2 linked regions of the Saccharomyces cerevisiae S288C genome follow. Changing the gene in region 1 together with any one later gene gives a genetic interaction. Each region holds a gene or a part of one and is shown on either strand. Other genes may lie near its edges.

Region 1 (5,150 bases):
TGGGTTCTTCACCGTTTTCTTAGGTGTCAGTATATGCTGCGGTATTATGGGTTTGGAAATTTTGTACTGTATTTTTGAAGACATGTTATCACCCGAGGTCCACTGGGTGTCGTTATACTTCTCAATATCACGATTAGAATATGAATTCTGATCCTCACACTTACTCTGCCAAAATAACCGTGAGAACCAATTAGTGCGGCGACAATATTCCTCTTCCCTTGGAATCGTAGCTGACATGGGTGGATTTGAAATGGACACCGAATTCCTTTTAAGGTAGAAATAACACAAAAGGATAAGTAATCCGAAACAGAATATTCCGATGGGAAGTCCGATTGAAAGCCCAATTGTGCTTGCTGAAGATGATTTTGGCTGAGCCGCCACATTAGAAAAGAGTAGATTAGACGGTGTAGAGCGTATTGATGTCGCTATTGTCGTTACTGTTGTTACACTCGTCGAGGAACTAGCTTGCGAAGATATGTAATTTGATGCTAAGGTAGTAGACATTGCGGCGACTGTCGTCAGCACAGTTGTTGTCGTCTGCATTATTGTTGCTACCATTTTGATTTTCAGAAACTTGATGGCTTATATCCTGCTCTTAAAGGAAAAAAGATAAAGGATGTCGTATCCAAATATTTTAAGAGCAACACATACCTTACAAAGCCACTCTTACATTGTCATTTAAATAAAACCAATCCCGAGAATTACGTTATTTGTTTCAAATTACAGACGTTTCATGTTTGTTTCATCATCGCACCAAAATGAGACAGCGCGAAAAGTGACAGTGCAATTATGCCATTCAATACGTCAAAAAGGGCATCCTGCAGAGATACAACTCTGTTTTGAAAGGGTCCACATGGTAAATATGGAAGCAAAAGAAGGATTGAGGCATCACTGACAACAAAATTGTCTTGCAGCCCAATTAATAAAAAAAAATAAAGTTATATATATAAACAAATACGTAAACAAAGGATAGAAGGCGAACTGAATCATCGTTCAGTAGCGGTTCTGGTTGCCGTTATTGTTCTGTTGAGAAAAGTTGCCAGAAAAATTGAAGGATTCGTGCTGTCCATTGGAGTTCTGGTTTCCGCCGTATTGCGGTCTTCCGTACTCATTGGATTGCTGTTGACCATTCTGTTGCGGTCTACCATACTCATTAGCCTGTTGCTGGCCCCCATAACTCGAATTTGAATTGGAGTTATTGCCCAGGTAGGAACTTGCCATGGAAGCCAAAGCTGAGAATGAACTGGAGTGGCCTTGTTGCTGCTGCTGACCCTGTTGTTGATGCTGATAGTTTTGGCCTTGTTGCTGGTATTGCTGCTGGTTGTTTTGGCCTTGTTGATTGTATTGCTGTTGGTTGGATTGAGTTTGTCCACCACCTAAGTAAGATTGAGCCATGGAGGCCAATGAGGAAAAAGCACCACCAGATTGTCCCTGTTGTTGTTGGTAACCACCGTTGCCACCTTGGTACTGTTGATTATTGTAACCTTGACTATTTTGGTTACCGTTTTGATAGGATTGGTTATAGCCCTGTTGACTATTGTTGGAGTTCTGATTATTATTGGAATGCATAAAAGAGCTTGCCATAGAAGCCAGTGCTCCAAAGGAGGAACCACCGGAGCTTTGATTTTGACCTTGCTGATTATTGTTGTTGGAATTCATGAAAGATGAAGCCAAAGACGCCAAAGCAGTAAAAGAACCTTGACCTTGACCTTGTCCTTGACCTTGACCTTGACCTTGACCTTGTCCCTGACCTTGGGAATTGTTACCTGACTTAAAGAATTGAGAAGCCAAGGCAGCCAGGCCGGAAGCACCCATACTTTGGCTCCCGCCGCCAGAACCACTTAGCATTGACATGACAGTCCCTACGTCAAACCCTCTGTTAGAAGAACCTTTATTTGATGAGTGTGTCATCACTGTGGCTAACAAAGCTAGTTTTCCTAGTTGCGTTTGGGAAGAACCCTTAGAGTCTGCCATTAAAGTGTTCATAAAAGATGAACCACCACCAGCAGCACGATCTTGCGAGGCGTCACTACCACCACTACGGTTGTCCATGACGTATCCTGCGATTTTTTGAATTAATGATTCAATAGTTGACATTTGCTCGTCATTGGGGTTCGACTGAGCTGCGGATGTCAACTTCGCAACAGCTTCTGCATGGTTTCCTTGAGAAAAATGAGACTCAGCCTCTGAGATTAACTTATCCGTATCCATTTCAGATCTTTGCTATACGTTTGTATCGCTATATGTACGTTCTTTTAATGAACTTTCTCCTTTCTTTATCGTGTAGCTTGCTTGGGTATCTTTTAATGAGTTGCGGACAGTGAGATTTTTCAGAAGGGCAATTGGCCAAGACACCAAAAACGTTTGGACGAGACAGGCATCAAAGGACAAGGTAAAAGGCGTTGAGCTGTGGCTGGCTGTGTATGCGTTTGAAATACCATGGATAGATATCAAAGAAAGATAGGATGTTTCATACAAATCCCAAATTTGGGGCGCGGACAACTGAAATACGTGGGTCCAGTGGACACGAAAGCTGGAATGTTTGCTGGTGTAGACTTACTTGCCAACATTGGTAAGAACGATGGATCATTCATGGGGAAGAAGTATTTTCAAACGGAGTATCCTCAAAGTGGACTATTTATTCAGTTGCAAAAAGTCGCATCATTGATCGAGAAGGCATCGATATCGCAAACCTCGAGAAGAACGACAATGGAACCGCTATCAATACCCAAAAACAGATCTATTGTGAGGCTCACTAACCAGTTCTCTCCCATGGATGATCCTAAATCCCCCACACCCATGAGAAGTTTCCGGATCACCAGTCGGCACAGCGGTAATCAACAGTCGATGGACCAGGAGGCATCGGATCACCATCAACAGCAAGAATTTGGTTACGATAACAGAGAAGACAGAATGGAGGTCGACTCTATCCTGTCATCAGACAGAAAGGCTAATCACAACACCACCAGCGATTGGAAACCGGACAATGGCCACATGAATGACCTCAATAGCAGCGAAGTTACAATTGAATTACGAGAAGCCCAATTGACCATCGAAAAGCTACAAAGGAAACAACTACACTACAAAAGGCTACTCGATGACCAAAGAATGGTCCTCGAAGAAGTGCAACCGACTTTTGATAGGTATGAAGCCACAATACAAGAAAGAGAGAAAGAGATAGACCATCTCAAGCAACAATTGGAGCTCGAACGCAGACAGCAAGCCAAACAAAAGCAGTTTTTTGACGCTGAGAATGAACAGCTACTTGCTGTCGTAAGCCAACTACACGAAGAGATCAAAGAAAACGAAGAGAGAAATCTTTCTCATAATCAACCCACTGGTGCCAACGAAGATGTCGAACTCCTGAAAAAACAGCTGGAACAATTACGCAACATAGAAGACCAATTTGAGTTACACAAGACAAAGTGGGCTAAAGAACGCGAACAATTGAAAATGCATAACGATTCGCTCAGTAAAGAATACCAAAATTTGAGCAAGGAACTATTTTTGACAAAACCACAAGATTCCTCATCGGAAGAGGTGGCATCCTTAACGAAAAAACTTGAAGAGGCTAATGAAAAAATCAAACAGTTGGAACAGGCTCAAGCACAAACAGCCGTGGAATCGTTGCCAATTTTCGACCCCCCTGCACCAGTCGATACCACGGCAGGAAGACAACAGTGGTGTGAGCATTGCGATACGATGGGTCATAATACAGCAGAATGCCCCCATCACAATCCTGACAACCAGCAGTTCTTCTAGGCAGTCGAACTGACTCTAATAGTGACTCCGGTAAATTAGTTAATTAATTGCTAAACCCATGCACAGTGACTCACGTTTTTTTATCAGTCATTCGATATAGAAGGTAAGAAAAGGATATGACTATGAACAGTAGTATACTGTGTATATAATAGATATGGAACGTTATATTCACCTCCGATGTGTGTTGTACATACATAAAAATATCATAGCACAACTGCGCTGTGTAATAGTAATACAATAGTTTACAAAATTTTTTTTCTGAATAATGGTTTTGCCGATTCTACCGTTAATTGATGATCTGGCCTCATGGAATAGTAAGAAGGAATACGTTTCACTTGTTGGTCAGGTACTTTTGGATGGCTCGAGCCTGAGTAATGAAGAGATTCTCCAGTTCTCCAAAGAGGAAGAAGTTCCATTGGTGGCTTTGTCCTTGCCAAGTGGTAAATTCAGCGATGATGAAATCATTGCCTTCTTGAACAACGGAGTTTCTTCTCTGTTCATTGCTAGCCAAGATGCTAAAACAGCCGAACACTTGGTTGAACAATTGAATGTACCAAAGGAGCGTGTTGTTGTGGAAGAGAACGGTGTTTTCTCCAATCAATTCATGGTAAAACAAAAATTCTCGCAAGATAAAATTGTGTCCATAAAGAAATTAAGCAAGGATATGTTGACCAAAGAAGTGCTTGGTGAAGTACGTACAGACCGTCCTGACGGTTTATATACCACCCTAGTTGTCGACCAATATGAGCGTTGTCTAGGGTTGGTGTATTCTTCGAAGAAATCTATAGCAAAGGCCATCGATTTGGGTCGTGGCGTTTATTATTCTCGTTCTAGGAATGAAATCTGGATCAAGGGTGAAACTTCTGGCAATGGCCAAAAGCTTTTACAAATCTCTACTGACTGTGATTCGGATGCCTTAAAGTTTATCGTTGAACAAGAAAACGTTGGATTTTGCCACTTGGAGACCATGTCTTGCTTTGGTGAATTCAAGCATGGTTTGGTGGGGCTAGAATCTTTACTAAAACAAAGGCTACAGGACGCTCCAGAGGAATCTTATACTAGAAGACTATTCAACGACTCTGCATTGTTAGATGCCAAGATCAAGGAAGAAGCTGAAGAACTGACTGAGGCAAAGGGTAAGAAGGAGCTTTCTTGGGAGGCTGCCGATTTGTTCTACTTTGCACTGGCCAAATTAGTGGCCAACGATGTTTCATTGAAGGACGTCGAGAATAATCTGAATATGAAGCATCTGAAGGTTACAAGACGGAAAGGTGATGCTAAGCCAAAGTTTGTTGGACAACCAAAGGCTGAAGAAGAAAAACTGACCGGTCCAATTCACTTGGACGTGGTGAAGGCTTCCGACAAAGTTGGTGTGCAGAAGGCTTTGA
Region 2 (6,059 bases), on another chromosome or scaffold:
GAAAGAGCTATTCAATTGTTGGAGTTATTTAGTCCATGCCTAGTCAAAAGTCTAAAAGTAATGATAGCACAAAATATGGAGAATGAAGCTTGTCAGATTTTAAGGAGCTTGTCTGAATGGAACTTTCATTTTGATCAGCATGATTCCTCCAACTTGATACAATTATCCCAGAACCATTCTTGCCTCAAAGTTATTGAAACCATGAATGGATTATCATCAACTACCGCTGTCACTAGGCAATTCGGACTTGAAAAATTACCAACTGACGTGAGTTTGAAGCAGAGCATACATATTTTATCAAAAGATAATTTCGAACCTCTCAAGCAAGATTCATTTCTTCAATTTCTATCGTTTAAATTAAGTGATTTGCCTCTGAACTTAGAAGTATGGAAAAAGCACATTAAGGAGGTTGATGACCAAATGCAGGCTGAGTCCAACCTGCATTCCTTAAGAGCTTTTTTTATTGATATGCTACTGTGTCACTTATCTGTGCGCAAGGATTTCGATTTTATGCTTTCATTGGTCGAGCACATAGTATACGAAAAAAATTTATGGCAGCCATTATTACTCACAGATAATATAGTTGGAAACAAAGAAAATTCCACTTTTCATTGCCTCTTTCATGGCGCCTCTCAAGATATTTCTACCAAACTTACTCTACTGGCATTGTATAACCAGTTGAATGAAATCGGCTATCAATTTACCTCCCACGATTTTCTCTCGATGTTGAAAGTCTGCAAAAACTACTCTGATTCTGATTTTTTCTATTTTGCTTTCTATAATTTGTTGGTTACACAAAGTCACAAATTTTTTCTTTTCGATAAGTTTAGTGATAAGTTTTCGTGGAGGTTGCCAATACAAATCGGAGATGCAATTTCTGAATGGCTATCCAGCTTAGAAATTGATATACAAGAAAACACCGATAGAGTTTTGCAGATAACAGATGACGTCGGCGAATGGTATGTTGAGAATAAACCATTTAAGTCAGAAAAAGGGACCATTCAACCAATAAACATAATGGAATTGCGCAAAATTTTTGGGGAGCGAAAAACTCTATTTCATATGGATTCAGAAATTTTCCAAAAATCTAAAGCAAAAAGAGATAAAGAAATGCGGAATGAAGCTTTATTTACCGCAAATGATGCGGAATATAATTTTGCTGCGGATGTATCCTATGCAAAGAGAGTAGAAAATCTATTTTCTTACATAAGATCTAAGCAAATGCAACAAAAATAATGATTATATGTAAAATTTGCCGTTTACATTCTATAAAGTGATATCAGACTCTAATATATTCGCCAATTCATGTTTCTGGCAGGCCACTTGTAGAGCTTGGAGTTGCCTGGTGACACCTAATTCCAAAAATATCTGGAACATACCTTGTAAAGCGACATTTTGATCAGTCATAAATTTTGATTTTGTTGCGGCGTATTCACGTTTCACAAGAACCAACAACCTTTTCAGTATTATGTTGGATAGATTCTTCTGGTCAGCATTTTCTCTCATTGTGTGGTAACAAGATATTGCCAAGAACGGGAAGAATTTGATCACGCTTACTCTCAATGTCGTACAATCTAATAAATGTAGGTTATAGAACTTGGCGAAAACACCCTGAAAATTAAAATTTGGATGTAGAACAACCAACCCAGATTCCATGATTCTAGTCCAAAATTTTACACAATGAATGGTGAATTTGATGGTGTCAAATCTCATACCTCCTGTTAATGGATCCTTGTTACGATCGCGTATTCTTGATTCAGCGATTTGTTTAGCGCTTGGAATTATTCTGATTAAATCGTGGCATAATTCCAGCTGTTGTGAAGGAGACAAAGATCTGTAGTATACGATAAATGAATCTATTGATGAAGTAAGCTGAGAATCTGTAAAATGTATTGCTCCAGCGCTCACTGCATATCCTTTCCAGAATTCTTCACTTAAACCTTGCTTGTGACGGAAATTGAGTATCGAAGAGTCAGATAACACAGTGATTTGTGATGTGGCCGAAGCAAGTAATTGATAACTTAGTTTTCTGATCTCTGGTACAGGTTCCGCCAGCAATCTCGTTAATTTTGGATTGATGGAGTCGCAATCACCAGATAAGAAATCGGGATGGGATTGCATAAGTTTTAAAGCCTGTATTCTTACCAGACGTCCTACATCACCCTGTTGAGTTATTGTATAATCATCGAGACAGTTGATAATGATGTTGCGAAATTTTCGATACGAATTCGACGGGAGTAAGCTTATTCTAACATCCCAATGATGATCAAGTTCGCCTATCAAAAGCGATCTGGATTGAGGTGACAATAGGGGGAACTGGGAGAAGAAAAGGGAACACATCTTTTCTTGATCGGGCATATGACATATTGATCGGCAAGTCAGTTCGTTATCTGATTTAATTAATTGAACAATCCTTGTGTAGTTTAGGCTAACGCATTGAGATATTATTTGCTGTATTATAGGGATGAATTCGTTGTACAGATTTAACTTCTTTTGTGGGGATACTATGTCTACAAATTTCCAAAACAATTCCTGATTGAAATCATTTTGTCCTGTTAATTGCCAGTATTTCAAAATGACAAAAATTTGAAACAGTTCGGGCGAATTATCGTTAAATTGTCTTTTCGCTTGAGTAGTTAATTGGAATTTTATCTTTTTCTGGTAAATGTCGATACAAATCTCGCTTATTTTCGGGCAATTTACGTCATTTTCGAATAGTTTCAAGTACAAGTACAAAATTTGACAATTTTGTGTAACTGAGCTGCCAGCCTTGTTTAATACCTCTTGCAATAAAGCGGGTGAAGATAATTTCGACTTGATTAATGGAACTAGGTTATAATCTATGTTGAGTTTCATTGTGGTCAAATGTAAATTCTCTAGTAAATTCCAATTGAAGGACCAATCGCGGAATACCTTCCATACGCAAACAGCACTTTTGGAGGTGTTTTCGGGGTTGAACAGCCTACGAATTAGACCAGAGTTCTCCTCGAAAGACCTCGGTAGATCCTTCCAATTTGCTTGCAATATCAAAGCAATGTCATTTTGATTTAGCGCAAGAGATTTGTTGGACCTGCCCAATAATTCTTGGAGCGCGGCAAAACTCGAGTATCTGATTATTAATTCGGGGTCAAAAAAGGCGTTTATTAACAGATGAGAAAGTAGTGATTGTAGAACCTGCGGCGATAAACTATTGCTACGGTTTGACCTTATTACTGACCAGATAATGAAGTTTGTCGAGTCCCTGATATGGTGGCCCTTGATGATTTGAAAGTGAGATTTCTGAAAATGACATGTTTTAGGGATGATCAGAGTCAATACGCGGTCGACTAGATCTATAGGCAGAATTTTGGCCAGAGCCACCTCGGCGATGATCAGAAGGGAAGTGTGCAGCTCATTGCTATCGATAGAATCGCAAGGAGCCTGTAATAGGGAAACCGTATTTTCGATGGTATAATCAATGAGCTCGATAAAAGATGCTGGATCTGCCTGGTGCAGGAACTTGGCAATTTTAGCGAAGGAGTGTGCCAATTGGAATCTTGTGTCTGTGGAATTCGAACTTAAATGGTCATGGAAGAATTCTACTATAGCATCTAGGATATCATGAGAGCCATGATTGAACGAAATCTGGAATAATTTTGGCAGCAGCTTTATTCCGTCATTGGACAGTGCAACTTGTTGTAAGTGTCTTAGATTTTCATTGGAGAAGTAGTAGTTTGCCTTTTCCGAAGACTGAATAAACAGCTTTAAAAATTGGTTGAGAAACGGCACATTTGCCTGTTCCCGTTCCGGTAGCTGGTCAAAGGCATCTGTGAAGTTTTTGAAATATAAAACGGCTTTGATCTTGTTAATTGGAGGTATGCAAATGGGGTAGTTCTCGAACCTGGAAGATACTTGAAGCGTTTTGTTGAATTTATCTTTGAATGCGTAAGGTGAAAGCAGAATGACGCTTAGCCAAGAAAGGTTTAGATAGACGCACAAGACATCGCTGAAAGAAGAGGGCGAGGCTCGATCTTGTAAATAGTTTAAAATTTCGTTTAATCTAAAAATACTTGTATCTAATGATTTAAGGACTTTTGAGTGGGAGATCTTGTCAAGATTGTAGAAAAGCTCCGCAACAAGTTTCTGATCACGCTGTGACATACAAAAGAACGACTTGGTCAAAAGAGGCACGCATCTCGGTAGTATGGTGTCTAGAAGTGCAGGATCATCTTGAAATTTGTTGATCGCGGCAATCGTCTGTTGGTGCTTTTCTGGAGAAACGGTCTGAACTCCAGATTGTATCGAGTCCAGCAAGGCCCGAATATTGTTCATGATTGAAGGGTGTAAAGTGCGTGTGGTGGCGTTCTTTCCAAAAATATTATCGTCTTTCCTTTTTTTTTCTTTTTTTTTTTTTCAATAGTAATAGTATTTCCTAGTGATCTCGGCGATTTTCCTTGATTTCTCCAAAAGCGTTTTTACCCGGACGATATGAATCCATCTATTAAACATCATAACATCATATTATTTTTTTCTGTGCTTCTAAAACGGAGATCAAATACCGGGCCCGCGCGCGATGGCCGGATGTCCGTCCATACTGCAATGTGAATTCCCGCGCGGTTCAAATCTTGTCACAAGTTTGTCAAAATTGCTTGTCATGTCTGCCAAATCTCCAGGGTCCTAAATCTGAGGTAGCACGGCACGGCACAAGATGGTACCCATGGTGCGTGACGACAGCCGCTACTTGCACGGCTTTGTTCCGGCAGCCCGGGTACCCGCGCTGCGAGTTGAAACATCATCAAACCAAAAGGGAAGCGACGTTAGTTTTTTTCATTGCGCTAGCTATGACGTTTGGGTGGCCTAGCCGGTTCGCGTGTGCCTGTCGCTTTTGTCGCTTTTCAACTTCTGCCCGATATTTCCTATCAAAGGAAAATGGGACGTTTTCAACCCCTCGCTATCATCGTGCCTGCACTCTGCCTATCGCCAACTACACCGGGGTTTTATCTGCTTCACCCCTCCATCCAGTGCTGATAACAAGAAGAACCTTGCAGGGTAGGGCAGGACCTACGGCCAAAATACTAATTATGTCTGTTTATGTACATGCCCCAATCTGAATATTCCATGAATGTAGGCACAGCATATCTCCATCCATGTACTGATACAGACGCATAAACATATATGTATATACATACTTATACACTCGAATATTTGTAGACTGATGTACTTCTATATATATATAGGGGGTTTGTGTTCCTCTTCCTTTCCTTTTTTTTTCTCTCTTCCCTTCCAGTTTCTTTTATTCTTTGCTGTTTCGAAGAATCACACCATCAATGAATAAATCATGGTAAATATACTGCCCTTCCACAAGAACAATAGACACAGCGCGGGAGTCGTCACCTGCGCGGACGATGTTAGCGGCGACGGTAGCGGCGGCGACACCAAGAAGGAGGAGGATGTTGTCCAGGTAACGGAATCACCATCGTCCGGGTCGCGCAATAATCATCGCAGCGACAATGAAAAAGATGACGCCATCCGTATGGAGAAAATATCTAAGAACCAGTCCGCGTCGTCCAACGGCACCATCCGCGAGGATTTGATTATGGACGTGGACTTGGAGAAATCGCCCTCCGTCGATGGCGATAGCGAGCCGCACAAACTAAAACAAGGTTTGCAGTCGCGCCATGTGCAACTGATCGCGCTGGGCGGCGCCATCGGTACCGGTTTGCTGGTGGGGACTTCATCCACGCTTCATACGTGCGGTCCCGCGGGGCTGTTCATATCGTACATTATTATTTCCGCGGTGATCTACCCGATCATGTGCGCGCTGGGCGAAATGGTGTGCTTTTTGCCCGGTGATGGTTCTGACAGTGCCGGGTCGACGGCCAATCTGGTCACTAGGTACGTTGACCCTTCGTTGGGCTTCGCCACTGGGTGGAATTACTTCTACTGCTACGTCATTTTAGTGGCCGCCGAGTGTACGGCGGCATCCGGTGTGGTCGAATACTGGACCACCGCGGTTCCCAAGGGCGTTTGGATCACGATCTTTCTATGCGTGGTTGTTATACTAAACTTTTCCGCGGTCA

Evidence for each region.
Region 2: mutations in BIK1 (region 1) and CIN1 together harm fitness more than expected from each alone (negative genetic interaction), as found in Saccharomyces cerevisiae (5 studies listed by BioGRID, with this or other methods).

Annotation. Positions count from the first base shown.
Region 1 is NC_001135.5:67,211-72,360, reverse strand, and holds BIK1 (Bik1p), read left to right. Parts: upstream 1-2,439; coding exon 2,440-3,762; downstream 3,763-5,150. Other genes in the region: FUS1 (Fus1p), read right to left, coding at 1-558; prion domain-containing protein RNQ1, read right to left, coding at 994-2,211; HIS4 (trifunctional histidinol dehydrogenase/phosphoribosyl-AMP cyclohydrolase/phosphoribosyl-ATP diphosphatase), read left to right, coding at 4,028-5,150. UniProt on the Saccharomyces cerevisiae protein: Required for nuclear fusion, chromosome disjunction, and nuclear segregation during mitosis. Probably required for the formation or stabilization of microtubules during mitosis and for spindle pole body fusion during conjugation.
Region 2 is NC_001147.6:988,041-994,099, reverse strand, and holds CIN1 (Cin1p), read right to left. Parts: upstream 4,312-6,059; coding exon 1,267-4,311; downstream 1-1,266. Other genes in the region: MNE1 (Mne1p), read left to right, coding at 1-1,236; proline permease PUT4, read left to right, coding at 5,318-6,059.